Linked DNA regions of Arabidopsis thaliana. The main gene of each other region encodes a partner of the protein of the gene in region 4 in a complex. Each region holds a gene or a part of one and is shown on either strand. Other genes may lie near its edges.

What was found.
Region 1: AT3G05430 (region 4) and AT5G02950 share a complex: the UniProt entries of both Arabidopsis thaliana proteins name them as parts of the PRC2 (polycomb repressive complex 2) complex.
Region 2: AT3G05430 (region 4) and NFC5 share a complex: the UniProt entries of both Arabidopsis thaliana proteins name them as parts of the PRC2 (polycomb repressive complex 2) complex.
Region 3: AT3G05430 (region 4) and AT3G09670 share a complex: the UniProt entries of both Arabidopsis thaliana proteins name them as parts of the PRC2 (polycomb repressive complex 2) complex.

Annotation. Positions count from the first base shown.
Region 1 is NC_003076.8:687,533-694,552, reverse strand, and holds AT5G02950 (Tudor/PWWP/MBT superfamily protein), read right to left. Parts: upstream 3,869-7,020; 5' UTR 3,745-3,868; exon of another isoform or gene 3,622-3,744; 5' UTR 3,601-3,621; coding exon 1,702-3,600; 3' UTR 1,454-1,701; downstream 1-1,453. Other genes in the region: AT5G02960 (Ribosomal protein S12/S23 family protein), read left to right, coding at 157-161, 664-819, 918-1,044, 1,133-1,273; AT5G02940 (ion channel POLLUX-like protein, putative (DUF1012)), read left to right, coding at 4,879-4,964, 5,603-5,658, 5,781-5,866, 5,954-6,204, 6,314-6,385, 6,468-6,540, 6,649-6,747, 6,817-6,971. UniProt on the Arabidopsis thaliana protein: May influence gene expression by regulating the function of the PRC2 complex and modulating H3K27me3 level.
Region 2 is NC_003075.7:14,557,805-14,566,091, forward strand, and holds NFC5 (nucleosome/chromatin assembly factor group C5), read right to left. Parts: upstream 4,798-8,287; 5' UTR 4,719-4,797; coding exon 4,465-4,718; intron 3,973-4,464; coding exon 3,912-3,972; intron 3,803-3,911; coding exon 3,743-3,802; intron 3,645-3,742; coding exon 3,582-3,644; intron 3,465-3,581; coding exon 3,399-3,464; intron 3,282-3,398; coding exon 3,207-3,281; intron 3,086-3,206; coding exon 3,010-3,085; intron 2,938-3,009; coding exon 2,742-2,937; intron 2,617-2,741; coding exon 2,535-2,616; intron 2,445-2,534; coding exon 2,371-2,444; intron 2,283-2,370; coding exon 2,171-2,282; intron 2,064-2,170; coding exon 1,989-2,063; intron 1,907-1,988; coding exon 1,839-1,906; coding exon of another isoform or gene 1,748-1,838; coding exon 1,648-1,747; intron 1,553-1,647; coding exon 1,451-1,552; 3' UTR 1,123-1,450; downstream 1-1,122. Other genes in the region: AT4G29735 (uncharacterized protein), read right to left, coding at 5,158-5,205, 5,299-5,377, 5,569-5,634, 6,256-6,356, 6,471-6,473. UniProt on the Arabidopsis thaliana protein: Core histone-binding subunit that may target chromatin assembly factors, chromatin remodeling factors and histone deacetylases to their histone substrates in a manner that is regulated by nucleosomal DNA.
Region 3 is NC_003074.8:2,962,666-2,970,164, reverse strand, and holds AT3G09670 (Tudor/PWWP/MBT superfamily protein), read right to left. Parts: upstream 3,965-7,499; 5' UTR 3,652-3,964; exon of another isoform or gene 3,645-3,651; intron 3,550-3,644; 5' UTR 3,529-3,549; coding exon 1,348-3,528; 3' UTR 1,107-1,347; downstream 1-1,106. Other genes in the region: AT3G09680 (Ribosomal protein S12/S23 family protein), read left to right, coding at 370-525, 619-745, 828-968; MCM8 (minichromosome maintenance 8), read left to right, coding at 3,999-4,196, 4,463-4,606, 4,680-4,797, 4,884-5,106, 5,201-5,364, 5,663-5,926, 6,025-6,120, 6,220-6,372 and 3 more. UniProt on the Arabidopsis thaliana protein: Together with PDP1, PDP3 and PDP6, interacts with MSI4/FVE and MSI5 to suppress FLC, MAF4 and MAF5 expression by regulating the function of the PRC2 complex and modulating H3K27me3 level, thereby promoting flowering.
Region 4 is NC_003074.8:1,564,280-1,572,404, reverse strand, and holds AT3G05430 (Tudor/PWWP/MBT superfamily protein), read right to left. Parts: upstream 4,782-8,125; 5' UTR 4,661-4,781; coding exon 3,625-4,660; intron 3,230-3,624; coding exon 1,368-3,229; 3' UTR 1,187-1,367; downstream 1-1,186. Other genes in the region: AT3G05425 (uncharacterized protein), read right to left, coding at 4,800-4,931; ACBP4 (acyl-CoA binding protein 4), read right to left, coding at 5,358-5,543, 5,790-5,849, 6,022-6,168, 6,358-6,540, 6,623-6,706, 6,847-6,935, 7,073-7,187, 7,267-7,393 and 2 more. UniProt on the Arabidopsis thaliana protein: May influence gene expression by regulating the function of the PRC2 complex and modulating H3K27me3 level.

The DNA.
Region 1 (7,020 bases), on a different chromosome or scaffold from region 4:
GTATTAGAAATCCGCGGAGGTAGAACCAGCTTCGCATATATTAAGAGTCACTGCCTTCACTAGGTTTAGGGTTTTCTCAGCCGCTTAAGAGCTTATCATCTTTGTGCTTCCTGCAAATAGCTCTTTGCTGTTGATCTTTCTCCTCCATCAACAAACATGGGGTACGTTTCTCCTCTATTAGATCTATCCTTCGTGTTCCTATCTCATTTCTCTGTTTAGCGTTTTATTTATCTGATTCACTTGCTGTTTCCATGAATTATGAAGGATTCTATAGAGTCTGCTGTGTTTTTTTTTTGTTTGAAATTGTTACATGTTTTCGACTTTTGATTGTGGTTTTTGATTGGAACTGATTCTATAGCAAATGCGTCTTCATTTCTGGATATGTTTGCTAAATGTTTTTTATGTATAGATCCACAATAGATTGTGTAAATTTTGAGCTACTCTGGAGTTCTAGTATGGTTGATAACTGGAGATTTAAAATTCGCTGTATGAGTATCTATGGTCTCTTGGGTTTTGAAGCTCACTTTTGCTGATGTATTAGAGATAAATCTTCTATCGTCTTGTTATTATTTAGATGAATTTCTTATTGATTTTCTGAGTTTTAACTATGGTTTATCGAGTGAAGTTGTTCTCAAATGTTATTTTGTGATGATTTGTTAACAGTAAGACACGTGGTATGGGAGCTGGGCGTAAGCTGAAGAGACTCCGAATTAACCAGAGGTGGGCTGACAAGCAGTACAAGAAGTCTCACTTGGGAAATGAGTGGAAGAAGCCTTTTGCTGGTTCTTCTCACGCTAAAGGAATTGTTCTTGAGAAAATGTAAGTCTGATATAACATTCAAGTTTACTTTTTCTTATAATTGATTTGTTGAGTAGAGACATTGGTCGTTGATGAGACTCTTGTGTTTGATGATGCAGTGGTATTGAGGCTAAGCAGCCTAACTCTGCTATCCGTAAGTGTGCTAGAGTTCAGCTTATCAAGAATGGAAAGAAGATTGCTGCCTTTGTCCCCAATGATGGTTGTTTGAACTACATCGAGGAAAACGTAAGTCACATGAAATGACTATTCAATCATCACACTATGGATTAGTTTCATTCATATGCTGATACATTTCTTGTTTATGGTGTTGCAGGATGAGGTCTTGATTGCTGGATTTGGTCGTAAGGGTCACGCTGTGGGAGATATTCCCGGAGTTAGGTTCAAGGTCGTGAAGGTTTCTGGTGTTTCACTCTTGGCCCTCTTCAAGGAAAAGAAGGAGAAGCCAAGATCTTAAGCAACCCGTACAAAAAGCTTCAAGCTTTTGATATGGTTTTTGATAGTTCAGTTTAAGTCTTGTTCTGTTCTACTTTATGTTTCAAGAACTTGATTTTGTGTTACATTTTATGAGTTTTTGAATTAAGACATGATCGTTTAATGTTATTGGTGTTTAATCAATTTACTCTTTTAACTTATAAGCCTCATCTTCAGTTGCGACTAACTTTACTGTTATCATTGGTATTTCCAGTTTTGGTTTTGTATGTCATAAAGTTAAGAATTAGTCTCATCACACGAATGTTACTTTTATTTATCGAAAACCTACTCTCATCATAAATCCTAGGTTACGTTTATTTATCGAAAATCTACTCTCATCATAAGACCTAGCTGATGATATCTGATCAGACCCTAATCTCTGAAAGTTAAGAGATGCCGTGACTCAATCAGTCATGTTGTTTTTTTCCGTTTGGGGCAAACATACTCGAGTCTGTAACTTAGAAGAGAAGGTCCAAAGATGCTGTATTTCCCTGCGCTGCTAAAGGCAGTCTTTGCGTCTTCCCCTCTTTTGAACACAACTTTGGCTCTCTTACCCTTCATCGTGACCTTAGTCTTAGACTCATGGAGAGGACCGTAACGTTTAAATATCTCGTTCAGCTTTTCTTCAGATGGAACCGAACCTGAATCCGCAAAGTTGAGGACTAAAGCATAGGGTGGTAATGAATCTGCAGAACAGTCCTTGAGACCAATTTGCTCTTTCGAGCCTGAGCCAGTGATTTCTTTATTTGCAGGTAATATCTCTTCTTCTGCAGAGTCTTTCTTATCACAAGGTTCTGATGTCTCAGTGATACTTGCCTTCTTTGAGTCACCATTGAGTTTACTGCAAAACAGTTCATTAATGAACTTTTCAAAATCTTCATAATTCGAGGGGTCTATGTTGATTGAATCAGGTATTCCCGTTGAGGTATTGGCAGCGTGAAGGCTTGAGAGCATCTCATCAGGAGAAGAAATCTTTCTTTCAGCAAGCTCTTGATGTCTCGGCTTCTTAGTCTTCTCATTCTCAACTTCCGTAGATTTAGAAGCACGGCAAGGCTTAAGTGTAGGAGTTAAAGAATTCATCTCATTTTCCACTCCAGTTCCATGACACGGTTCAGCCGTCTTCTGCAGTTTATTAGTATCACCCACTGACAAAAGACTTTCCTCATTAGAGTGTTTAGACACTGAATCCTCCTTTTGCTGACTTTTCTTGATCCTTTTCTCAGACTTACCAGATTCCGAAGACTCAACCTTACGCTTCTTTTCAGAATGCGACTTACCATCCAATTTCTCAGTTGATCTGCTCCCACAGCGTTTCTTTACAGTCAAATCTGACAAAGTCTTCTCCTTTGTCTGTTCAGCATTATCTTTATAATCTGTCTTTCTCTTTTTGGCAGATATTCCTTCATCCATATTTACTTCTGGGAGAGAAGCCAGGGTCGCAGCAGATTCCACCGACCTTACAAATGTTTCATAGTCAATGAAGTGAGAATAGTCTTTCCATTGTTGAAAAGCCAATACCTGAGCTCGGTTAATCACAAATTGCAGCTTCTCAGTCGCATCATAGCAAGGAAAGCAAGCTAAATGCTTCATATAATCCACAAGTTTAGCAGGTTCAAAAGAGATTCCATCCGATAACTTGTCTCCACCGTATCTAACACTTGAGTCCTCACGAATTCCAGCATTGATTATGTTCTGAGTCTTGAGTTTGTTATAGGCTTCCTCTGAAACACAAGAGCAAGATAAACCAAACTCTACTCTCCTTGAAACCTCATCCAAAGCACAATCAATAGCATCACGAAACTCAGCGGAGTTACTCTGCTCCTGCATTTGAGAGAAATTCTGATGAAAAGGCTTTATCTGAGATGCATTATTCCAAGCAAATGTACAATCCCCAAAATACGCAACCAAGACATTTCCTTTCTTGAAGTGCCTCATCGCAGCTTTAGAGGCAACAGATTTATCAAAGACCAGTCCAGGCCACCATGGATAACTTCTTAGTTTAGCCCAAACCAAATCTGAGTCAAAAAGCTTCAGATTCTCTTTAGAAAATCCTTTCTTATCCTTGTTCTTAAGCAGATCTGAATCAGCATCAAAATCAACCCCGTTACAGAGACTATCCTTATCATCACGAGCAGAGACAAATACTTTTCGCTCAACTCCAGTGAGGTTCACTACCAAGTCCTGAGCTTGAAAGCTCATGGGATCAGCTAGGGTTTCAGATGTGTGAGCCATACCGTAGTCAAAACTCGACGCATTTATGGCAAAATCAGCGTTGGAGTCAGATTCGACTCCTTCTGGTTCCGTAGACATAACGAGCACCAACAAAAATCCCTAGACAACGAAGAAACAAAAAAAAGCAGAAATTGCTTCAGTATATGCTTCCATTAAAGCAAAAACAGTACATCATACGAGAGACGAAGAAAATAATCGGAGAGCAAAAAAGGTGGACAGAACCTCCGGTGGCGGTTACGGTTTCGCCGGCGACGAAAGCTTAGATTTTGGGTAATGAAGAAATAACAGAGTTTCTTTCGTTTTGAGGGGGTTTATGAGAGAGCTACGTGTACGTCACGAATTATTCCACGTGGCAGTACTTGATTTTGTCTCGACTCATCACAACCATACATTATTACATTGAGTGAGGTTCAAAATTTTCAAACTTTTGCTTTTCCCTCTTTATTTGAACTTGAATTTGACTTGTTTTTACTGATATTAAATAGAATAGAATTTTACTACAAGTAGATTAGAATTTTACTACAACTAGTTTATTTCTAAAGAATTAAATTTGTTAATTTTATGTTTAATGAGAACCAAATGTTTTCCTACAACATTAAGACACTTTTTTATAAGTTTTCTAAACTTGTTTAATAGTATGTTTTACTAAAAAGTGATATTTTGAAAAACCTCTTTTGGGGATATTTTTAAATACTCCTCATAGACTAACAAAATAATATATCAATTCATATATAAACACAATAACACCGTTTATTGTGTAAAGTGCTTAGCTCTCTCAATGGTCAAAAAATGCAAAATCCATTTTCTTGTTATGTCTTTGTCATTTTTATTGTTATGTCATGTGGCGTCTCAACATTGAGAGGATATTTTGGGAGCCAGTAACGTTCGAGATTCAAAATTGTGGATGAGATTTTAACGATTGAAACAAAAGTACTAAAAAATAGTCGTTTATTAGCACATGTACTCTTTTTTTTGTTTGGACAGCTATTAGCACATGTACTCTTATATGTATGTATGTATATAAAAACGTGAATAGTGAGTGGAATAAGAGAAAGTAGTTAAAATTCAAAGCGATAAGAGTACCATTTTGTTTTTATTATATTCTATTCTATGGACGCGATTCCTCTGCGTTGTTTACCTATTCAAATGAAGTTCTAAGCCAAAAAAAAAATTAGTCGATTTGTTTTTATGTTCATAACACCCCACGGGCTAACTAATATGGTCCAAAACAATATAACAACAACAAAATAATCACGCAAAAATCTAAAAAACCAGCCTTGTGTCCATACTCCACCCACATATATAAGGAGAGAAACAAAAAGAGCGTAAGATAAATCAAGGAGAAGATTAAGAAAGATGGTGGCTGTTCAGTTGTTTACCTGGAAGCCATTGATTCTACCTTCTCAAGCTTTGACAAGAGATCGATTAGCTTCTTTTCACAGGTTTTGTTTTTGTAATTTCTTTCTTATACTTGATATTTCTGAAAACAATTGCATGGTGGTGACTTTATCCATAAGTGATAAGATGATGATTGTGAAGTTTGTGATCCTCAGAAGATTTTGAGTGTTTTTGTTAGAAACAAGCTCTTTATTTCCAAACAACTGATACAGATACTTAAAGAACACGGTATTTATCATTTAAGCGATCAATACTAAGTAACTCCTCTCAACAAATTCTATATTCTAAAAGAAATGCCAATGCCTCTGTTTATTTCTGTGTCTTCTCTTCTTTTCTTTATAATCCGAACCCTCTAGTTCCGTCAGCGTCTTCTTCGTCCTTATCTTCAAAACTTGCTTGGGCATATATCACAGTTTATTTTTGTTGTTTCTTCTTCCGGTGAATTTTACTTCATGTTTTGCTTACAGTAAATGTAGCCAAGTTCAATGGTTTCGATTAGAAAATGTGACGGTTTTAGTTAGGAGCTCTGAATTTGGGTTTAGAGTTTAGTTTCAAATGGAATTTGGGTTTGTAAGATAAAGGTATATCGTAAATTGATTCAAAATCTGGAAATTGTCATTCAATCAAAGCTCATTGGGTTGTGATGTTTACAAGTTGTGTATCTCTGATTCTTTTTTTGCAGGAGCTTGAGTTTACACTCTCTGCCTTTAGGTGGGATTAAGTCTTCTAGTTTCAGAGGTCAGGTTCTGTATATTTTTCCAACTTTGATGCAATTCTTTACGGTCTCATTGTTGCTGTTCTTCCACAATTAGACTCATTCTTGATTAGCTAATTGTATTTTTTTTCTCTCTATATGACAGGGACCTTCAAAGTCAAATCTCAAAGGACAGGAGATACAGAGCCGCCTAATAAAAACTTCAAAGATTTAAATTCCAAATTCTATAAGGTGAATCTATAGAATGAGTTTCATCACTGAATGTGTTATCACTCCATATGCTTATAATAATATAATCTTGTTTAATTAAATATGCAGAGTCTTCCATATAAACTTGTGATAGGATGCATCCCACTGTATGCGGTGTTGAGAATAGCGCAAAAGATATTTCAAGAGCTTCCAAATCTCATTCAGAATTCAGTGAAGGCTGGCTTGCCTTTTGCATGTGCATCAAACGCTATAGACAAACATCCTTTACTCAAGGCCATTCCTTCTTCCCATGATATCAAATGGGGTCTTGCAAGGTCTTCTTACCTCTTCAATACTCAGCTTGAGAAGAACCTTGGCACGTACGTCCTTAAACCCCAATGTAGTCTCAGAGTTTTAACGAGTATAGCTGTTTGCAGGCATGTGACTATATATGACATCCGTTCTGATCACTTGTCATGGCTATTGTAGGGTATTTGTGGTGCTCCTGATAACATGCTTTTCGTTTGTTATCATTGGAGGACTCTTCTTTTTCAAATTCAGGTAACTTAGCTATGTTTAAGAACTTCTTGTGATATCCATTGCATGGTTTCTTACTTTTATTCCCCTCCTTCTTGTTGTGAAGGAAAGACACATCCTTAGAAGACTGCCTCTGGGAGGCCTGGGCATGCCTCGTTAACGCTGATACTCATCTGGAGGTCATGATTTGCTTCTTCACAGAACAACTTATATTAGTCTCACGATATTTCTATGGAGTTCTTGCTTACTAAATAAATGCCTATGTATATGTTTACTGCAAACTGCAGCAAAAGACACGCTTCGAAAGACTCATTGGATTTGTCCTAGCCATTTGGGGAATAGTGTTTTACTCTCGGCTTTTAAGCACAATGACAGAGCAATTTCGGGTAAGTTCTTGAGATAAACATTATTGGTTAATTGGTAAAAGTTATCCTGATCGATGTTGTCTTGGGCAGTATCATATGAAAAAAGTGAGGGAAGGGGCACATATGCAAGTCCTAGAATCTGACCATATCATCATTTGTGGAATAAACAGTCATCTGCCTTTCATACTAAAGCAACTCAACAGTTATCAACAGCATGCTGTCCGCTTAGGTACCACCACAGCTAGGTAATTTAAATTTGGTCACACCATGAATTTAATTTACCCATTTTTGTTG
Region 2 (8,287 bases), on a different chromosome or scaffold from region 4:
AGGTAGAAGGAAAGTCAAAATCTCGAGCTCCAAAAATCTAGCTACTATGGTATTTCCCGTGACCCTAAGGACTTTTCCTTGATCTTCGAAGCTTGAAAATGACACACTCGCAGGTTATTACGTGTTTCATACTCATATAGTTAATATGCAAACTATAGATGCGTTGTATCCATTTATAGATCATAACAAGAGTAGTACTGCTTAAAAGCTTTGCACTCTAGACAAACTTTAGGCTTAAAATTGGTTCACCACACACACATCGTTCTCAAGTAACAATAGTACTAATTTGGTGAGCCAAAATGCTATAATGAAATGAGGTAAATGATCCATCTGGATTACTTTGTAAGGAACACCAATGATCGGCTTGAATGGTGTAGCATCACTACAACAATTTCGATAGGGGGCAATAGAGAGGCAGACCAGAAAAGGGGTTTAATGGCTAGGATTTTTAAAAGGACTAAATCTTGAACAATGAAGATATAGTACTCCTTGAGCCACAAATTTGTCTCCCCACTTCCAAACAAATAGTTTGGCATATTCACATACACATACAATGATACAAAACTCAAAACGTGTGTTTATGTATATATGTGTGTGTTTGTATGCGTCGACAAAGAAGGTTTTGTTTGGTTATAGCTGCAATGAATCAATGATGAGAATCCAACAAAACCTAGAGAAGCCCCTATGAGATGGTCTTATATCTATAAATGAGTAGTGTACTTAATGTCAGATAAATCAAAACCCCATGAAAGGCTTAGTACCTAGATGTTTTTAACTAGAGAGAGAGAGAGAGAGAGAGAGAGAGAGAGAGAGAGAGAGAGAGAGAGAGAGAGAATCTACTAGAAGATATTATGCAATAAATTTCCTCAAATGTTGCTACCTAACTCCCTCACCCCACAATCCCAAGAGTATTAAGTTCAATTGTCTGCAAGTTTGTATAGATGTCAGGTCTTAAGATTGCACAAATCCTTTGTAGATCTAATGAGTTGATCCGGTTCAACCCGGTTTACGCAGAACCAATCTTGCTTGAAATGAAACCGAATAGAGGTGAAGAGCGACGATTTTCTATCTGCTTTTGTTGTTGGAAGTAGAACTGAACGGTTCAGGGACACATGAGTCAAATGTCAAGCACTTGAGATTTGGATTTCACTGATTCAATCTGTTGTTTTAGTTTGGTCTTGCTTAACCAAGTTTGGATTCACAAAAAAAAAAGTTGAAAATACAAGCAAGTTAGGTGCCTAGGATTAACCTGAAGAAACAGGATCAAGTACCATACAAGATTCCGGAAGTCCTAAATCTACCAATATGTTGAATTACTGGCCTACATAAACCAAGTAATATTCCGCAAAAATAACACCTAAATCGCATAAGTAAACTGATTTTCCTCGCAAAAACTGACACTAAACCCCAGCAACTTACTAATACTAATAGACATGATGGGATTGCTTCCTCAAGACTTGGAGGTACATGTGAAAACATGTGACTTGAATTTCTCTAGCTCTGTCAGGACTTCATCTTCCGGTCTGTAAATCAAGTCACTCATCCGCCATATCTGCATTAATTTACAAATCAAAAGTTTTCATTTTTACCGAGAAAGTTAATCATAGGTAGGTTCCAGAGTAAATGTAGCAAGACATTTAAAAGTACCTGCAATGTACCACCTCCACCGATACTCTCACAATTATCAGAAACACTGACAATAGTCCAAGGGTTCAATAGGCTCCAGTGGAAGTCGACCACTTTGTCCCTAAGAAGATATACACGAGGAAATTATAGATTCCACTGAAGAGAGTAAAAGGGAAAGGCAAGCAAGTGAATTAGAATTAAGTCTTGAGAACCTGTGACCAGCATGCTGGAAGAAAAGCCCATCAGGAGTTTTGGTTGCACGCTCAGACTTCTTGCCAACCTGGTGCACACATATATGTTAATATGGTGAGCTTGAAAGTAAGAGAATAGTTTTAAATGTGAATGTGAGAAATTGTACTAACCCTATCACAATCCCATATGTTCAAGAGACCATCTTCTGCAGAACTCCCAAAAACAGATGATTTATCAGGAGACCACTGAATTGATAACGAAGCAATGTCATTGGGGATAGGTTTACAGGACAAATAATATGAAAAGAAAAAAACAAAAAAAAAAAACAGAGGTGGTGGCATGTTGTTGAAACCTGAACACAAAGAACAGCAGCTCTGTGGCCTTCAAATTTGTAAACAGGTGAACCAACTCCATTTGAGGTAAGGTTTCGGCGGTCAAACACACGGACAGTGTTATCTGCTGACCTGGAAAAGTGATGTAGAAGCGTAGAGTGAGAGGACGAGTAGCATCTCTGTACTTTTGGACAAGTATTTAAGTTTGTGAAATCAGTACCCAGTCAGGATCAGATTATTGTCATGAGGATTCCAATCGACACAGTGAAGATCAGCATCATGTGCCTTCTCAACCTGCCAGCGCACAAGAAGAAACAGACGGAATCTGAAACAAGACCAAAAAGTTAAACCTCAAATGTCGATCTGGCTAAAAAAAAGAGGTACCTTCATGGCAGGACTAGTGCCAGTTCTTGCGTCCCATAGCATAAGGCAAGAATCGTCACCAACACTGCAGAATTCTTGTGCACTGTAGGACAAAACAAAAAATTACCAATTTTTTTATACCAAAAGCATCAGAAAATTCTGAGTAGGTCTGCATTTGGGTGTAAACTTAAGAGCTTATTAAAAAAGGAGACTGTCCCAAGAAGTTACCTAGATGGACAGAATGCCACGTCTTCAACAGTATCTTTGTGGCCATTATATATGCCTCGAGGGCCAACAGAAGGACCACCAGTTTTATCACTACCTTCACCAGTCTGCTTGAAGCTGGATCCAGGGGATTTGGAATCCGAACCAGCCATTGTGATATGGTCTTGGATATTCCACAAAATAACGGACTTGTCCTTGCCTGCACGGAAGAATCTTTGATGAGAAACTTGCAAACCACAAGATATGACACAAAAATAGAACTGATACAAACCTCCAGAGAGAACAAAAGGTTCGGTTGGGCACATTGCAAGAGCAAATTCAGCATCATCCTGGTGCCCAATTAGTAACTGAAAATAAAAGTTGTTCAAATGATGCAAAAAGAGTAGCTCTTTCGATTGTTAATATGATGCACAAGCAGGTTGTTTAACTCAGTGAGACAACATAACGAAAATTCTCACAAGAGCATACCAAATCTGGACGAGAATCTGGAGCTCCAAGCACAGCATACCGGTCTGGTTGAGTCTCAGTGTTCCAAATGAGAATCTGAAAACCAATATATCATACTTGCATGACTGAAACTGGAACTATTCAAAAACAAGGATACTGAATAACGAAAGCCTTTTTTTTGTCACGCTGATGACCCGAGAAAGCAGAACTTACATCAGGACTGTCGGTGTGAGTAGCTACAATCTTGCTATTTTGAGGGAGTTCCCTAATTCTGTTGACCTGCGATGAATGAAGGGTACACAAAACAAAATCTTTTTCAGCACTCAAGTCCTAAACGAAATGCAGATTCAGTAAATCCATCTAAGAAAAAACAATGAGAATACAGGAATATCACACCTCTCCAGGGTGGATGATGGTCTTGTACTTCTTCACAAATGGAGAGTGTGCCTTTTCATTAAGCTGAAAGCATATAAAGAAACGGTATTTCAATAATTTCATCTCAGCAGAGAGTAACACAAGGACAAAAGCACAAGCTTTGGTAGAGAAAAACTAATTACCTGCCTATTAACAGTTTCGCAATTGGCTATGACCAAAGTATTAGGCACACTGCCATTCGTCTAATGACAGAACCAAGAAAAAACGGTAAACATAAGGAGCAGTAAACAAACTTTGGATATTTTTCATCAAGAAAAAATGTACAAACCACAAGAACAAGAGCAAACTCACTTGTTCCGAGAGATAGAGACGTTGAGTCTTAGAACCTGCTTGCTCAAGCTGTGGCCCCCATCTGCTCAAATCAAACAACAGGATTACAACGAAATCGTACCTCTTTACACAAAAGCTAAACACTTCACTAAATCGTAGCACAGCTAAACATCTGAAACCAAAAAGTAACAAAACAGAACACCTAAACCGAGTTGGTCAAGTGTTATCAACGACATCATTTTCCTACCAAAACAAGTTCCAGAGGTTCAAAAATGGAAACATCAGATAGCTAATGAGCTAAAAGCCTAAAAGAGAAAGAAACACAGAAAAGCATGGAGACTGAGCTAAATTAAAAACCCGAACTAGAACATGTCCTAATCTCACAAATTCCAGAAACCAGCTAAGAAAAACTCTCAATCTATGAGTATTTCACTAGCTGAAACGGAAATGTAACTCAATCGCCTGACCAAAAGCACAAAGCTAGAATTTTTATTTCCCAAAAAAGAACCAACTTTCTCCAAAACCAAAGATCGAAAACCCTAGAAACAGAAAACCTATAAAAAAAAACACAGACCTGCAAGAGAGAGAGGGCCAGACGAGGGTATGATTAACAAACGAATCATAGAGAATGGGAAGAAGAGTCTTCCACTGAGAGTAAGTGTCGTCAACGGTGGCCTTTTGACTCTGCTGTAGCAAAAATGGTAACTGAGACTCGTTGTTGCTCTTAGGTTTCCGTCTTCTCTTATCCGTCAAAATGGCTGTCACCGGAGTCCTAGGTGCTCTTCTCGGCCTGGTGGCTTGAACAGTCGCTGCTGCTTCGCTTTCCATTTCCTTCTTTTCTCTCGTTTTCTCTCTACTCTCCTTTGTTTTTTTTATAATATTATTATTTATGCCACGTGGAGTAAACTTCGTCCCGGCAAATACCCAATAGGCAAATACTTAAATTAGCGAATTAAAATGATTTCTTCACACTAAAGAGTATAATCAGTATCTTCCCATTACAAAATTTGAGTAAAGCTTTCTTCTAAATCTTGGTAGAAAGTTACTAACTGATCAACTTAACAACGCAAACGCTGTTCTAAAGGCGGTGAAAATTGAAACCAAAACTCGGTTTAGCGTTCAAAAGAAGAAGATAATTTAATTGTAACTTGGTGTTTAAAGGCTACTTCTCAAGTCTTAACATTCATAACTCTGATTTTACTTGAACAAAGATAAATCTGTTTTTTTTGTCTTTGAACTAGTTGGGAATAGTATTGAGGAAGAAGGATCAGACATAAACACCACTAGCAAGTAGCAAAAACAACGATCCAAAACCCTGCAAATAACACAGAAACAGATTTTAACCAAACATTAGATTTAAAGAAAACTCTTAAACTTAAGTCAAGAGGGTGAAGAAGAAAATCCATACCAAGAAGACAGATGCAACTGCTGAAGTAGCGAGCTCCTTTCCGACGCTTCGGTTTTTCCTGGATGATGTAGCTTCATAGCTGCAACACAAATGTTATGACAGGGTAAGTTTTGATCACTCCTTGTTGGGCTGAATGAATCTAAACCAGCACAATGAATACCAAAAGAGTCCAATATGACCTTATTACAAAGAAGCTAAAATGAATGGTTCAAGTCTATCTTAAAGTTTTGACTCGAGGCTAACCCACATGCTCTCGTAGCCCAGACGCACATTACTTTAACAAACCGAATCATATCTCCTAAAACTTGCCACCCTTTGAAAGGTAAATGCTCCACGCTTAAATGAAAATCATACAAATCTAACTTTCTTGTATCTTAACTAAATCGATAATCAGTCATTTTGTCATATTCAGTGAAACTATTAGAGTACTGATTCCATTTCCATAGACTATCACCTTATCATTGATAAATTTTGAGTCTTTATATCATGATAGTATATAGAGCTCACACATTTCCAAAAGGTTACTAGATGAGTCCCATGACTTTCTTACTTTTTACCCAGAAACTTTAGTAATAAGAAAGGCACATATTTCAACAGATTAATCTAGCAAAGAGATCATGAAAGTGATGAACATGTAGCTTCAGGAGCTTTAGAAGACCTATCTCTAGAGAATAGCAATTGAGAAAGCATTGTGACCAAACCATATATATAAGCAGTAACAATGTTGGTCAAGCTTCATACACAGTGAACAAACAAGAGGAGAGCCTCACACGATTCATAGTTCAGAACCTAGTCATGACTATCACACACTAATCAAGCTTTATGAAAATCAAGATAAATCATAGGTAGATCGAATCTATCAGGAACTGTTTCACTAATCTGACATCAAGTAATATAAATTGAGAACAAGAAGGGGCAATTTCGAAGATCTAGAGATCAGATCAATTATTAGCTTACATGAAGAAGATAGCGGTAATGACGAGACCAATCGCAAGAGTGAACACCGATAAAGTCGGATACAGCGCCACCGGAATCGGACTCGCAATCGGTTTCGCCGCCTTCTCACCGGGAACGAGCACAAACACACCAAACAAAATCAGAAATCGTAAAAGCAACAAATAGAGAGATCAAATTAGCTGTGACTGAAAGCACTTGGACGGATCTAGATTTACCATTGTTGCTAAGCTCTTCTTCTTCTTCTTCGATCTGAGGAACAATGAAAAAGCTATTTGACTGATCTCGCTCGCTTGATCGCTTCACTAAACAAACACGAGTCGCTTCCGGTTTGTACTTAACCGGCTTGTTATAACACAACCACGGTTATTTTATGGGCCAGTTTTTCTGTTTAAAGGTTCGATTTAATAGGCCCAAATATACTTATTAAGGCCTTTGATATAAAATGTGTTCATATCTTTATCTTCTTTTAACGTTGTATAACTTTATTCAAAGTGCAATGTGATCCTTTACCATTTTCGAAAATTGAAATCCACTTCAATGTAGACATCTCCAACTCCTTGTCAATCAATTTCCGGATTGAAGATTGGGTACTCTCTCTAGATTTAGTTCCCACCTGAAAATATGGGACCGGATGTAATAGTAACAGATTTTTGTATTGGTCAACAATGACTTATAGATTTCGTTTTTTTCATGGAAAGGACTTAGAAATTGGTTAGGGTTTAATTTGTTGACCAATACGAAAATATGGTCCCAAAGAAGTGTTGCCATACTAAATGACGAAAACCGGCTGCCGAATATTTCTATAGGTAGGACATAGAACTTACATCAATTTGCGACCACATATATTGGAGGTAGCATTTTAATCGTCTCTAGACTTAAAGGGCTATAGCAGATAGAGGAGACGGTTTACTCACTCGTTTGCTATTTGCAGATATTTACGAATTTTGGCACATGGATCCAAGAAAACAATTCTGCCTGTTGTGTGTGGATAGATTTTATGCAGAAAAAAAGTACTAGTCCATCACATTTACTTTAAAAATTAAATCAACGGCCTAGTATTTTTGTTCGATTATAACAAAACTATTATAAAAAAAAAAATGTACTTATATTTAACACTATTGATTAATTAATAAATGAATCTTCCGACTGTTTTCTTTGTAGGGCGTGATGTAATCACGGGACGGTGAGTCGGTGATATCATTCGTGTGCTTCACTCTCTAAACATATAGCGAAGTAAATTGACAAAAAAAAAAAAAACAAATAGTTAACCGTCGACAATTCAATAATGGATAGAGTTTGTGATTAAATCATCTATAACATATATATATATATATATATATATTAATTAAATGTTTGTCTCACTTTGCATGTGATACGAAATGAAGAAACTACAAAAAAGTGAAGTTCGAGGTGGAATAAGCCTTTTGCTTTCTCACGCCACACTAAAACTTGCGTATGTGTTTCGATTCTGCGCCGGTCCTGTTGATTATAGAACATGTAATTTAATAGGAGAAAGTAACTGTTAGTATAGTATTAAAAACGAATGTATATAATTTTACTATTATAGGTATGATCGACTTTTGTACTATAAATTTCAATAACATTCCTTCAATGAAAAAAAAAAGAAAGAGTTATATTGTAATAGACTATAGTTTTGTGAGAGAGTTTCAAGTAACGTTTGCAATTGGACGAACTTTTAAAGAATATTAACTGCAAAAACACTACTTGGGTGTAGAAAAGTGTTATTTATGAACCGGCCCACAGAGTCGGAGTTTGGTCGGTTCCACAAATTTCAAATTTACGTTGTGATCTACATACAATAAATTATCACATCTTATAAAGTCAAATGAAACTACCTCAACTATACTAGAAAATATTGAATACTAAATTATAAAATACAGAATTAGAAACTTATCAGGGGTGTTAAAATCAATTTACCCAGTAGACTTTTTATTATTGTTGAACTACGTTTAAACAACATATAGATATTTCGAAGTCAATGCAGTCAAATATTTCATACAAAACACTTTCG
Region 3 (7,499 bases), 1.4 Mb from region 4:
CTTTGGTGCCTTGCCGTTTTCGTTATCTCGGGTCGGGATGGTTGAATTAAGGGATTTGAATGACATTCATACGTCGTGTAGTAATACTTTGTTAATCACCCTGTTGAAGCTACGAAGTTGCTATAATTCGTAGTTTTTTCTTATAAACGTTGGAGTTATTTGGTCTGAAATGTGGAAATTATGATTATGATTTTTGATTTTTTTCCTTACTACACTCTCCTCTTGTGTTAAGTATTTGTGATTTAGATTATAACTTTATGTTCTTTATCAACTCCGAATTTGTTTTATATGTTCTGAGTGAGTTGATTTCATCTGATGAAATGTCCTTTGGTTCTCAATTTCTTTTATCTTCTATTTGAATATCTTCAGTAAGACACGTGGTATGGGAGCTGGTCGCAAGCTTAAGCAGCTTCGGATTACTCAGAGGTGGGCGGACAAGCATTACAAGAAGTCTAATCGAGGCAACGAGTGGAAGAAGCCTTTTGCTTGTTCTTCTCACGCTAAAGGAATCGTTCTTGAGAAAATGTAAGTTTGTATAAACATATATATTTACCATTTCTTGATTTTGTTAGTAGTATAGATCTTGACTTTGATGAGACTCTGTGTTTGATTATGCAGTGGTATTGAGGCTAAGCAGCCTAACTCTGCTATCCGTAAGTGTGCTAGAGTTCAGTTGATCAAGAATGGTAAAAAGATTGCTGCCTTTGTCCCCAATGATGGTTGTTTGAACTACATTGAAGAAAATGTAAGTTAGATTGACATCTACTTTTGAATGAGTAATCAAATTATATTCTTACCAATTACTCATTCATTGATACTGTGTGTAGGACGAGGTGTTGATTGCTGGATTTGGGCGTAAAGGTCATGCCGTCGGAGATATTCCCGGAGTTAGGTTCAAAGTGGTGAAGGTCTCTGGTGTCTCACTCTTGGCCCTTTTCAAGGAAAAGAAGGAGAAGCCTAGGTCTTGAGCTCTACTACATTTTATGAATTTTTTTTGATATTTGAAGGCATGTCTATGTACTTATTCAGTGACATCTCTTATTCTATTTTCCTCCGAGTTGAGGTTAATTTTGTTTGGATTCTAATTTATTTATTCAAATTCATAATTAGTTTTGGATTCAAATGAATTATTGACCATTAAATTGCACAAATCTGGAAAAACAAAAATAACTTTGTTACATTCTCTCACTAGTGTTTGTTCAACTCTGATTAAATCATACAATTCTAAACTTTGAAAGAGAAGAGAATCCATCTAAAAGGTATATTCCACTCTTGGGTACTAACAAGAACCGGACTCGATTTTAGAAAGATCTGTATTAGTGGGTTAGACGCTGATGCTGAGCCTTCCTACTCTGCAGAAACATCTTCCTTGCAACTATCAGATCCACCAGAGCAGTTCTTGTTACTCGGCTGCTCTCTCAAGTCCAAGCCACTGATTTTCTCCCCGGTTAGATTGCTGTCCATAATAGATTTCTCATCCGCTACATTTGCAGCTTCTTTCTTATCCTCATGTACGACCTGCTCCTTAGAAGAGTCTTTCAAGTCTCTAGACTCCAACATCGGGTCCTCCACAAGGTTAGTACTAGGAGCTTCCTTTCTGACCTGATCAAGTTCTCCGGATAGGTTGTGGTCTAGGCTGACAGAATTGGATTTCCCACTTGTGGTTTTGGTAACAGAAGCAGCGTGAGGGCTTGAAAGTGTAGTTGAAGGAGAAATTTCTCTTGCTGATAATGCTTCGGCTTTAGGTTTCTCCTGAAGACTCTTTCCACTGCCATTGCTCTTGGCTGCCTTTTTGGAGGTCGAATCACTGCAAGGTAAGAGTCTGGTTGGTGTTGAACAATGCATCTGGTTTGCCACTTTCAATATGCTTGCCCCAATTCCGAAACTTTTTCTAGCTTTCTGTGGTGTAATCTTATCACCAGCAGACAAATTATTTTTTCGATCATTTTTGGGAGAAACTGGAGATCCTGGATCCTCTGTTTGCAGGTTTGCCTTAATCTTTTTCGTGGACTTGGGAACTTTTGACTGCACAACCTTGCGTTTCTTTTCGCAATGCGGAACATTACCAGACTTTTCATGTGATGTGTTCCCATTATGTCTGCTTACGCGTTTCTCAGCAATGAACTCTGCCAAAGTTTTCTCCTTTTTCTTTGGAACAATAGTTTCTTCATATTCAAACACTCCATCGTGTTTACAGTCACCTTTATCAGGATCAGAAACTTCAACTAAGCTACTTTGCTCTGTTTGCAGGTTTGTCTTTCTTCTTTTAGTATAAACTTGTTTACTCTTTGTTGGTTCAGGATCAGAAACTTCCACTAAGCTACTTTGCTCTTCTGCAGGAGAAATCTTGGGTGCAGACTCTACTGACCCCTGGAGTGTCATAAACTCGGGGAGGTCAGTATAGCCTTTCCAGCGATTAAAAGCTAATAACTGTGCTCTCTGACTTACAAGCTGCAGCGCATCAGTAGCATCATAGCTAGGAGAGCATGCTAAACGCTTCACATATCCCACAAGGTTTGCAGGTTCAAAGAAGACTGCACTTGAGACCTTGTCTCCACCGTGTATTGAGCTTGAATCTTCTCGGATTCCAGGATTGATTACATTCTGAGTCTTGATCTTCTGATAGACTTCCTCTGAGATACAAGAACAAGCTAAACCAAACTCTATCCTTCTTGATACCTCTTCTAACGCAAAATCAATAGCATCAATAAAATCAGGTAGACTACTCTGCTTTGCCATTTGGGAGAAATGCTGTCGAAAAGGCTTAATCCGTGACGCCTCATTCCAAGCAAAGGTGCAATCTCCAAAATAAGTTACTAAGAAACTTCCTTTCTTGAAATGCTTCTTCGCCTTGTCTGTTGCAGCCGAGGCATCAAACACCTGTCCAGGCCACCACGGATGGCTCCTTACTTTAGCCCAAACCAAATCTGAGTCAGAGATCTTCACCTTCGCAGCTACATGGGCAATTTCATCATCCAAAATACTCTCATCCTTGCTCTCATGCGGTTCTAAACCCATAAAACATACAACATCCAAGTCCTCAACTTTTGTTCCTTGCTTTTCTAAGCCATCGGGTTTTCTATCCTGAACAAGGTCTTCACTATCCAGTCTGCCATCAGAAACCTTCACATCACTGAGATCAGCGCCATGAGAACAGACCATGTCAGGTTCCACTTCCTTCTCAACAAGAAGCCCCCTTTTCTCTACCATCATGACCTCTTCGCTATCTACTAGAACCTTCTTGTCACTTTGGTTACTCTCTCCACCTACATTTTCGGTTCTAGTGCCTAGATCTAACTCTCCATTTACAGATTCCGTTTCCTTAACAAGATTAGTAAATCCATTTACTTTCTCCATCCCATTATCACCAGCTGAAGCAAAGTTGCCGCATCCTTCTTTATCATCTCCAATTGTTTTCAGCTCCTGAGCTTGACCAGCTAGGGCTTCAGACATTTGATCATTTCCGACCTCTAAACTCGACGCATTAGCCTCTGAGACTGATTCAATACGTTCTGATTCCGTCGACATAAGCAGTACCAAAACAAAACCCTAGAAAATCATCAGAAATTTTCTTCAGTTCATTTCCCAACAAAACATATAACAGAACCTACAGGTGAAGAAAGAAAGATAGAGAAGGTGCTCACAACAAACCTCTGGTCACGGTGGTGATGAACAGCGAATTTTCCGGCGGCGGGAGCTCGTTTATAGAAATGAAGTAAACGAAGACGTCAAATCGAACCAGAAACGGGTTTCTCGTTTTTTTTTTGTTGTTGTGAATTTTTGTGCGGTTCAGTCCACGTGGCGGACAACTAAAGCTTTATTAATTGATTTTATCCTTTCTTTTGGTTATCTTTGGGTTTTAGGGTTCAATCATTTGGCCCACTTACCAAAAACCCATCACAAAAAGCCCTTTACCTTTTTCCCGCCAAAACCCATTGGCCTAAGCGAGATTTTTCTCTGCGACTGACGACGAGCGAGTTACAGTGGGTTAAGCGGTGATGGGATTTTACGGTGGTGGAAGCATGGCATCGGGTCGCCCTGAATCAACAGGAATTGATTCTCTCGGCATCGGGAAAATATTAGCTGTATACATCAAGGACAACGAGAATTTGGCCATCGACGAGGATAAGTTGCAGCTCACGGCGGAGCTCATCCGCGTATTCTCCGCATCACCTGGTAGAGACATAGTTTCTCAGGTACATCCTCACTTGGCCATCATCAAATTTCTGGTAAAAAGTTTATAAATCTGAATTTTATAAAGCTTGGTATAGCTTGATTTCGAAATTAAATTCCGGTTATGAAATTGTAATCTATTTAGCTAGATTTCGTTTCCACTCTACTTCTATGAAGAATTAGGGTAGATAGAAAACGATTAATCAACTTCTCTATGCGTCAATTAGTTCTTCTTAGTATCTAAAAATAGGAGAAACAGTTTATAAGTTTATTCCATGGCTTGAGCCAGGTGAATGAAGACGGTGGTGGTTCCTTCTCTTTGTCTCTTGATCTCCAACAATTCAAGAAAATATCTGATATCGAGAACTTTTTCATAAATCTAGAGGATAATCCTAAAGGAGTTATCCCATGTATGAATGCTGCTGTTCACAAGGTATGCTATTACTTTTCATTGGGGTTTGTTTTCTTGGTTGGCATAAGATGAAGACTTATGTCATCTCTCACAGGTTCTTTTTGATCAATGGGAGACTAATGAGTTTGAGAATGTTATGAAGATCAATGTTCGTCTGCATAATTATCCTGAATCTTCTATCTCCCTGAAAAACCTGAGAGCAGCTTATATTGGTAGACTGTCTCATCTAGCGAAATAAATAATAAGATGTAAAACCTTAAGTGAGACATAGCATGAGTGTGTGCTTTTGAAATTGCAGGAAAGCTTGTAACCGTTCATGGGACTGTTGTTAAAGTTAGTACTGTGAAACCCCTTGTCACACAGATGGCTTTTGACTGTGGAAAGTGCAAAACTGGCATAACCCGGGAATTTACTGATGGAAAGTTTTCTCCTCCACTAAAATGTGATTCCCATGGATGCAAGTCCAAAACGTTTACTCCAATCCGGTCCTCTGCTCAGACAATTGATTTTCAGAAAATCAGGTGTTCTCCTATTTGCGTCTCATCATTTTGTGTACTTCATCCTTGTTAGTTATGTATCTGACCATTGTTAACCAGCTGTCCAAATGCATTTTAGGGTACAGGAATTGCAAAAGCCTGAAGACCACGAAGAAGGACGGGTACCCAGAACTGTAGAATGTGAGCTGATGGAAGACCTTGTGGACATATGTATCCCTGGTGATGTGGTGACAGTTACAGGGATTATAGGAGTAATTAATAATTACATGGACATTGGGGGAGGTATTGATTTTATAACTTTTCATGGAGTTCTCTCCATCCTTGTTGTGTCCATAATTTGCAAACATTAACATGCCCAAACGCCTGCTATCCTTACCCGTAGAATAGCTGGAAATTTGTCTCTTAAAGTTCTCTTCCATGGTTTTTGGGAATCTCATTGCAGGAAAGTAAAATAGAGCACTGCTAAGTTGTTTGTTTTACTCATATTGACATTTTACCAAAGATCAAGGAGCTAGAAGCCTCATTACTGGTATTAAGCCATACTCAAGCTTAACAAACATTTAAAATGCTCCTGTTTCAGGGAAATCGAAGACCAAGAATCAAGGATTTTACTATTTGTTTATAGAGGCAGTTTCAGTGAAAAACACCAAGCGGCAGTCTGCATTTGAGAACTCAGAAGACTCTAGTAGCAGTGCCCAGACTGCAGATGTTGGTGACTTATATTCATTCTCTCAGAGAGACTTGGAATTTATTGTGAAGTTCAAAGAAGAATATGGTTCTGATACATTCCGTCGCATACTTCATTCAGTCTGCCCGTCTATTTATGGCCATGAAATTGTCAAAGGTTATACTTCTGTCCATAACAAGATTTGATGATTACAATTAGAAGCATTGCATATCATGATACGTCTGTTGTTTGTTTTCTTCTTATCATTTCAACAGCTGGGATAACACTATCTCTTTTTGGAGGTGTAAGGAAGCACTCGATGGATCGGAACAAAGTTCCAGTCAGAGGAGACATTCATGTCATTATTGTTGGTAAGCTTTTGAACCATGTTTAGCTTGAGCTGAGGAAAGGGTATTTGTAACTAGTTTGTAGCACGAAATTGTGATTGATGATTTTCGATGCACTAATAGGTGACCCAGGATTGGGCAAAAGTCAGCTCTTGCAAGCAGCAGCTGCCATTTCCCCTCGTGGCATTTATGTATGTGGTAATGCGACGACTAGAGCAGGGCTCACCGTTGCTGTAGTGAAAGATTCCATGACAAATGACTATGCGTTTGAGGCTGGTAGCTCATACCCTCTCCTTTATTTAGCCCGCACAAATCTCAGTATATAGCATATTATTCTACTGTTTCCGATATGGGTTTGAGTCATGCTGTTGATGGATAGTTTTACTTAATACTTACTTAGTCTAAAATTCATTTCTTGTCTTGATGCTTGAGGTTGTGTATGCCTTGTCGGTTTCAAGTGATGTCATTTTATGTGGATGTTATATTACTGTCTTATAGTTTAGACTTTAGAGTGGGGGATCAATTAGCAGCAGTCTAAAATCTTTCTACAAGATATAGATAGTTCATTCAAAAATTCGCATCTTCAAAAGTGTTTTATCAGTATTAGGATAGGGTTTTACTGAAGAACGGCACAATAGTAAAAAGTTGTATATGCAGAGGAACCCCTACTTTTAAATAGTTCAACTGATTTGTGTGTAGGACGAGAAACCTTCCATCTTTCTTAACCTAGTGCTACTCTGTGAGCAGGTGCCATGGTACTCGCAGATGGCGGGTTGTGCTGTATTGATGAGTTCGATAAAATGACCACCGAGCATCAGGTTTTTTCTTATCGGCAATGTCATTACTTCTGATGTTGACATTTTTCTCATTACTTACATCACTTTGCAACAGGCGTTGCTAGAAGCAATGGAACAACAATGTGTCTCTGTTGCAAAGGCTGGGCTTGTAGCTAGTCTATCAGCTCGAACTTCTGTTATAGCAGCAGCAAATCCTGTTGGTGGCCACTACAAGTAATTTTCTTACTTTGCTATCTCATCAATCATCATTGTGGGAGTGTTTGAAATATAGTAACGACAATGTATGTTCTTGATATTTACATTGTCTTTATGATCTCATTTCAGCCGTGCAAAAACTGTAAATGAGAACTTAAAAATGAGTGCTGCCCTTCTCTCACGGTTTGATTTAGTTTTCATATTACTTGACAAACCTGATGAGCTACTCGACAAGCAAGTCTCAGAGCATATTATGTCGGTGAGTCTCTCCATCTCAGAGCCATTATTGTTGTAGAGCATGCCTCACAAAGATATTAGCAGATTTTCGCATTTGTAAACCTTCTATAAATGCTTGGTGGATAAAAGACATATTTTAGTTTCTGGAAAGACTTTCTTCAGTCTACGCATTCA
Region 4 (8,125 bases):
TTCAAACACCGCCCGTAACTGAAATAATATTGATAAAAACTAAACTAAAACAAAACCGAAAAAGAACTGATATATAGTACAATCACGATGAATCGAAACTATAAGAAATTTGTATTAAAAAAAGATTTTCCTTAAAAAACTTTTACGATTATTAGTATGATCATGACTAAAAAATCCTCTACAACATCGAAAATTGTCTATCTTGTTGGAAAAATATCAATTGGACAAGAGAAAATATATTTGCTAGATCCGATAATATCTGATTTCAAATAAACTAAACTAGATTTTAACCCGCGGTATACCGCGGGATGATTTATTTTTTAAAAGTAATATATATTAAAACTTGCAAATTTTATTTTTATAAAATATTTATATTTTACAATTTATGATTGTTATTAAGTATTTATATATATTAATTGTTATTAAAAATAATAAATTAAAGATTTAACCCGTATTGAAACAGTGGATTAATTATATTTTACTTTTTATTAATGTTGATTCAAAAATTCGTCTTGCCAAAAAGTCATTTATTTTATTAATATTAATTTTATTTATGATATGACTTTGAATTATAATCTAAACATTTTAGCTAATAACTTAGGAGTGTACCATATTTATTTAATAGGGGCCGAATGCACTTTTACCAAAATCCACCAAAAAAGTCTTGCAAAAATACTATAGACCCAAATGTACCATATTTTTTTTTGTGCTAATTTTTATGTGATTAAGATTTAATTGATTTCGTATATAAAATATTAAATCGTTTTACGAACTTATTTGTTTATAATTTGGTAACAGATAGATATTTGAATATTCAGTATATTTTGCTTTAGTTTAGGAAATTTTTGATGACCCGTCTTTAAATCCAATAAGCCCTATAATTAAGAGATGAATATTGTCGTTAAATAATTTTGATAATCTTAATGATGTCATTAAAAGATTTTGTTTTTGATTAAATTTTTCTAATGGCATGTAATTAATTACAAAAAGTAAGGTTATGTACTTTCCAAATAATATAGTAGGATATTGTTATGCTCTAAAATGTTAGATCTAATATCAAACGCGCAGAATTAAAACGCATTTGGTTTCAGTTTTCATGCAAATTTGGTTAATTGTTTTTTTTTTTTTTTTTTTGCAGTTTGATATTGGCTTTAAAATAGGAAACCAATAAAGTTTTTTTTTTTTTGGCAAACTGGAAACCAGTAAAGTTAGAAAAACATTCTGGTTTAAAATCGGTTTATATGTCAAATGTGGATATTTAGAGAAAGAGAGATGTTCTATTCACTTTGAATTTTGATACCCTTCTCCAGATAATACTAGTTAATAATACCTAAGGACAGACTTTTGTTTTTCTTTAATGTAATCTTTCATAAGGAATGATAAGGGACGTAACCCAACAAACCCGTGACGTTGGCCACAGCATCGTTACACCTTGTTAACAGCTCCATCATCTGCAGGGAGATGTCCACCTTAAGCTGTGACGGGTCTAGTGGTGGCTCGACGTGGTCCACTTGGTTATTTACAGGCTTTGGTTCTGAGTCTTGTGAAGAGAGAGGAAGAATCGAAACCGAAAATGGTGACTCTGTTTCTTTCTCACCCAACATGAATTTCACTCGTACTGTTCTGTGGTTACCATTACGGTTATTGCCTGGTTTTTTCAAACAAGACTTGAGCTGGATGTTTGGTTGGTGAACCGGCGGTGCTTGCTCTAGTAGCTGGTTCAATGGTTTAGTGATGGGTTTGTCTGTCTTGGGCCTCTTGGCTTTCTTCAGTTCATGATCTCCGGATGCAGAAGAAGCTTTCATGTCACGGAGAAAGTATGTCACATTCACATTGCCAAAGAGAGATTTGCTTCCTGATACATATCTTAAGGCAGTCTGCGCATCGAGTTTATACAGGAAGCCAACACGGCAGATCGAGGATTTCCAGGAAACTCTGATGGCTGATTGATCCAACTGTCCAAAGCGTCCAAACCTCGCCTTAAGCAGATCAATGGAAGGGAGAGATTCACCAGGAGGAAACATCATGACCAGCATTGTTGGCTCAACTACCATTGCAGATGGACCCGTCTTCTTTTCTTGTTGAACTATAGCTGGTTTGGCATTGATGGGAACTCGACATTGGTCTCTTACTGGATTTAAAGGTGCAAGACTTGATCTCTTTGTTGCATCTTGGTTTGTTTTCTTGTCAGAAGCCAGTGGTTTGAACTGAATGGTTTTCTTTAGCTTCTTAGTTGATGGGACATCTTGTTGACTGTCAGACGATATGCGGTTTCTCCCAGCCTTTGATTGTTCATTAGCTCTGCACAAAGTCTTTGCAGATTTTGACAGTTTTGTTGCGGAAGGAGATGTGGCCAAGCTTTTCTGGTAAACATGTGATCGGAAATGAAAAAAGAACTGCCTTATAACTCTAAAAGAACTTCTATCTGAGGATCCAAAGAGAGGGTCAAGCGAGAGAGCTAGCAAATTACTCAACAGCTGCAGACCATCAAGTTTCACTATCAACATATTGGAGCGTCTCTTTGCTGAATCTACTTGTGACGATTTCTTGGCCCAAGCTTCTCCAGAAGATAACGCTTTCCTCTTATCTGGAGTGTCACGGTTCAGCTCTGACACATACTCTTTCTTCTTTTTCTTTGGTTCTGGAGGACAATTCTCAGATTTCATTTCGCCAGAAGACCGTTTCACGACATTGCCTTTCTTGATCCCAACTCCTGCAGAAAATTTCCCACCACTAAAAAGCTTGAGAGAGCTTTTGTTAGATCTAGAATTTGTTCCAGTCTCATCTTGTTTAAGGCTTTTCATTGGTTCAAATTTCTCCTGATCTGGAAATAGAGTTGCTTTTTCTCCCATTCTCACATCTGACTCTTGAGCTAAACCCTTGTCATCATCACGAGAGAGCTTTGAAACAGAGGATTTCTTTCCAGGAATATTACCACTTGAAGAGGTGAAGTTCATGCTGACAAGCCCAGTCTGCTCATGTTTCCTGGGAGTTTGGAGACATGGAGTCCTTCTCTGGAGTAGACGATCCCAAGCTGAAGATCCGTTGATGCCCTGAAACTGAGAAGATTCTTGGACCTGGCCAAATTGAACTGTCATATCACCAGCTTCTTCTCTTCTTTTTGGAAGATATTTGTCTTGTTTAGTAGAATCCTTTACATTCATAGCTTTTGTGTAGCTCTTTGGGTTGCCCAGAGTTTCTGCACTGACCAATGAGCCACTCAAGGGGACTGTAAACACAAGCAATGCATGAGGAAATATGAAATCTATTCCAACCACCCAACACAATGAGATTTCACAATCCAGAATTTAAGATCAAAGATATGCCATATCCTTTTGAGGCATTCTAAGAATACAACTTCATAGCTATAAATCCTACAATAACAACCTTAAGAAAAGCATTTTTGATGTCGAAGGATACCCAAACCACAAAACTCTCGAATGTAGCCTATATGGCTCGAGAAACAGAAAAACAAACTCAACGAGATCACCAATTTATAGAGTACCGTATCTCTGTGATACATAGGAGAAAGATCTAATAAAACTCCATAAAATTCGATTTTGGAAGCAGAAATATTACAAATGTATTCAAAACAATGCCAGGATCGCTGAAAGGTGAATCTACCTCGAAGGGGTGCTCTATTAAGTGGTTCATGTGTCTTCATTAAACAGTATACAGATCTTGCCCTGAAAGCTTGTTCATATGTTTCATCAAACTCCTCAAACACTGCTCTACGGAATGCACAAACCGCTACTTTCTTCTGGAAAGACTTTAAGCTGTCTGTATCACACTCTTGAGGTGCTAATGCACACCGCTTCACAAAAGCTAGAGTTTGCACAGATGAAAAACTATCCCTAGCTTTCTGAATCTGCTTAGAAGAGTAAATAGCTTGGACCTCGTAATCAGGCACGTCTACAGCAAAGTAACCTTGAGCATTAATAGGCCTAAAGTTATACTGATTCCGACATTTACAAGTCAAGCCAAGAGCTGACCTTCTACCTACTTCATTCATAGCTTCTTCCACAGCTTTTGCAAAGTGATCCGAACTAGTTTGCTGTGATTTCTCCTTCACATGAGGTTCAAAAGGGATAAGCTCAGCAGGATCGAACCATCCATAACTATTATCCCCAAAGAAAGCAACCAGAACGTAACCCATCTTCTTCACACGACGAACAGAGGGAGACGCAAAAGCTTCATTGAATATTTGACCTGGCCACCATGGATGTGACTTTACCTTTCCCCAAACCATATCTCCCACTTCAAAACCATAGCTCAATGCCTTCGAATTTCTAGAACCCATTTTCTCCCTCGCAACATAATCGTCAAATTCGGATAAGAAAGATTTGTAGTCCGGAACTCGCCTTTTCTCCATTTTCTTCTCACCAGATTCGTTGCAGAGCTCATAAAATCGGTGATCAGAGTCTCTAATCTCTCTTTTCATTTCACAAAATCTAGGTTCCGTTTCACTGTTAGACACTCGAGAACCTAAATCGACATTTCCATTTCCATCACTTCCAGTGTCTGCAGCAACCGAATCAAGCTCCATAAGGAAAGCTTCGGCCTGATCAATCATTTCAAATTTCCCGGAGCCATTGCCAGAAAAAGTAACGAAACTATCACCAAAAACCCTAGGATTCACATTCACCTCAGCCGAATTCATTTCTCTCTAACCACACTTGAACCCTCGGTGTTAAAGAGCTTTCATAACAATGAAACCCTAGAAACAACTCGAAGCCAGAAGATGCGTAACTTTGTTTAAATCCTGAGATTGTTTGCTGGAAGAGAAAATTTAAGAAATTTCATGAGAGTAAAGCTGGAGAAGATGACAAAAGCATCACTTGGTGAGAAGGACATTTTGGTAACTTCTCAGCGTCATAAATGGTGATGGTGAACGGTCGAACTTCCCATCCAGTAATAGGTTGCCACGTCATGGGACAAAAAAACGTGATCTTTTTATTTTATTTTATTTTGCTGCCTAAAACGTGATTTTTTGTCCACTTACGAAGTGAGGTAAATTTAATTTAATTTTTAATGCAAACGAAGACTAAAGAGTGAAGAGAGTAAGAGACTCGTAAATATAAGAAAATTATGATTGCTGATCGTAAACTGATTTAGTTTTCATAATTTTGTCAGACACTCCCAAAACAAATATTTCAAAAAAGTTAACGAATATTCTGGTGAATCACTTGTATAACAGAGAACAAAGCTAAACATCGGTAGTAATCAAAGCTCGCTAAAAAAATATCTTATTGGAAGAAGAAACAATGCGAGAGACTCAGACAAAAAAAACTATATATATTTCTTTACTGAAAGCAAATATCGTCCGGAGGAAAATGGCATTACCGGACCAAAAATGATCAAGGCGAATCATCATCTTTTTCCTGAGGGCTTCCAGCGAGCCAGCCCCATACGCCACCCGAGCCCTGTCGTTTAGCGTTCATTGCAGCTTGTTCTGAGGCAGCCTTTTGACGTTGCAGGAGTTCGAGTTCCTTCTGTAGTGTTTCCAATGTTTGAAGCTTTTGTCTTAGCTCTGCAACATCAACCTGCAGATTCGGAGAAAGTGACCCAATTAGATTTGCTTTGTTTTTGTTCTTATGACGTGATGAAGCTTATCAATAAATGACAGAGAAGATATGTGATAGATCCAGTGGTTACAATGGATGAATGTTCTAATCAAGATTCCTATTCATCCTGGAATATGAGTATATGTAGTCATTAAATCACGGGTTTCACGAGATTCCAAATTCTGTAGGTTATGGTACAAAAGAGATGTGGCTACGGTTTAGTACCTCCAGTTTGAAACACCTTGATTGTTCGGCTGCAAGTTGGCCACGAACAGATTGAAGTTCCTACAAAATGTCAGTACAAAGTTAGGTATATCATATTCGAGGAAAAATTCCGAGATTTCAGATGTTAAATGTGAATGCAATTGGAAGACTGCTGCAACCAGTCTTTATGAACGATTGGTTCACCAATTTATTCATGTCGGCTTCTGTTTTAAGAAGGTGATAATATTAGTACCTTGTACAAATCTGTGTTTCGTAATTCTGCTTCTCCTAACTCTTGCCTTAGTTGGAGAGTCTGCATCCTCTCTTTGTTCAGTGATGCCTCCAGCTCTTCCTTCTCAGATTTAATAGTCGCAATAATGCGTTCGCTGTTTCCTTCAACCTGGGGATTAATCACCCAAAACATAATAAGAGTGCGAGAAGGTGATGATCCGGACTGGAGTAACTATATTCTGTGTCGACACAATCACTACCACAGCATATATGCATAAGATGCTTCAATTCTCTCAAACAAATCAAAAGGTGGTGCTATGCAAAATATATTAAGGAGGGAAATTTGACAAGAAGATACCTTTGATCCAGGGTTAACATTGTCCATGACAATTTCCCGTACCCTGCCTTCTTGGCTCACCTCAACCTCAGACTCAATGTCTCTGGTTGTGGCATTATTAACAGCAGAAAGACTACCTGGCAAAGGCGCTTCCAGAGTCTTTGTTTGCAATGTTGATTTGTGGCTTGGTTTAAGAAGATTAATCTAATGCCAGATAAGAATTAGAAGCAGAACTAAATGAAAAATTAAGAGAAATGAACTTATGGGTTCAGATCACAGTCCCTACTTCGTTATTGTAACGTCCATTGTATCCACCAAAAGCGACTAGTACATCTTCACCATTGTATGAACTCACCACTAAACTTAATCCCTGTCAGTAGCAAAGGAAAGGACGATGGAAATGAAATAAGCATGACTTGACTTTTTTCGAAGTCTTGAAAAGGCTTCTACCGTGTTTATTTGTATAGCTATCTGGGAATTAATATGGATAAAGTCTGTTTATTTAAGTACCTCGCTAGCAAGAGGTACACGTCCTTGAACTGAAGCAACGACCGACCATGCAAGAGTTGACATGTTTAGTACAACACTCTCCGATGCCCCTGCAGTAATTTGTCACAAAATTAGTCACCCCACACACACAAAAAAAAAAACCCAAGCAAATATCTTTTGTTCTAGGGGGTGATAAACAGAACGGTTGGGAAGAGAAAATTTCCAAGGGAAAAGTGCATTAACATACCACTCTTGTTATCACCGCCACCAACAATAAACCAGTTCTCCCCAATTGTCACGCCAGCATGTCCAGCTCTTGGAGTTGGTGCATCACCTTGCTGTGCTGGTCTTGACCACTCCATCTATATGTGACAATTATATCAGAGGCTGACAAAGCATGTTTGAGAGCAGCTGAAAGAATAGACTCTTAGCTTAACTTACAGTTTGCAAATCAAGGACATGCAGGTCATCGAAACAGGTTGCATGTGAGCCGCCACCAAAGATAAGAAGGAACCGTTCTGCATGCACTGCAGCAGCATGATCAGACCTCGGAGATGGAGATACACCCCTGCAATTTGACACCAATTTAAATCCTGAATTGCTAATCTTTCAATAACGACTAAGATACTAAAGGAGATAGGAGGTCGATTTCTAACATATTCATATTCTGGTTATATATCTAATCTTAAATGGGTTTGACTTCTTCGAAAGAGAACAAAATGCAGAAACATCATAAAATCTTACACGGCATCTATCTCATCCCAGGTCATCGTGTCTAGGTCAAGTATATGCAAATCGTTCAGAAGTGATCTCTTTGCATCTTGCCCGCCAAATATCACCAAGGTTTTACCCACCATTGTAACTGACTGGCCTCCACGTGAAACCTAAAAGCAAGAGATAATTATAAGAAAGTCTAAATTTAAGTAACCAAAATGCATATTTGACTTCCAAATTAGCAAGGAGAAATTCTGGATTTAGATGCACCTTAACCCTGAAGATATTATGGGAGGGTAAGGAAAGAAAACAACTTTTATTTTTTTGTCTTTTGACGGCCAAATTTTTTTTTGTATAAAACTGTAATATTTTCATACAAAGGTGACAGGAAAGCAAATGAGACAACATGAGAGAAGTGAAGATATACCGGTGGTTTTCCATATGTCTTTAACATTGACCATGTAATGGTATGGGGATCAAAGACCTTCACTGTGACAGGAAACAGTAGAAAGTGATATGTAATCATTGAGATTCCAGAAAAATCTTATAAATATGTGCAAATTATCGTCTTCAAAGGTATATAAAC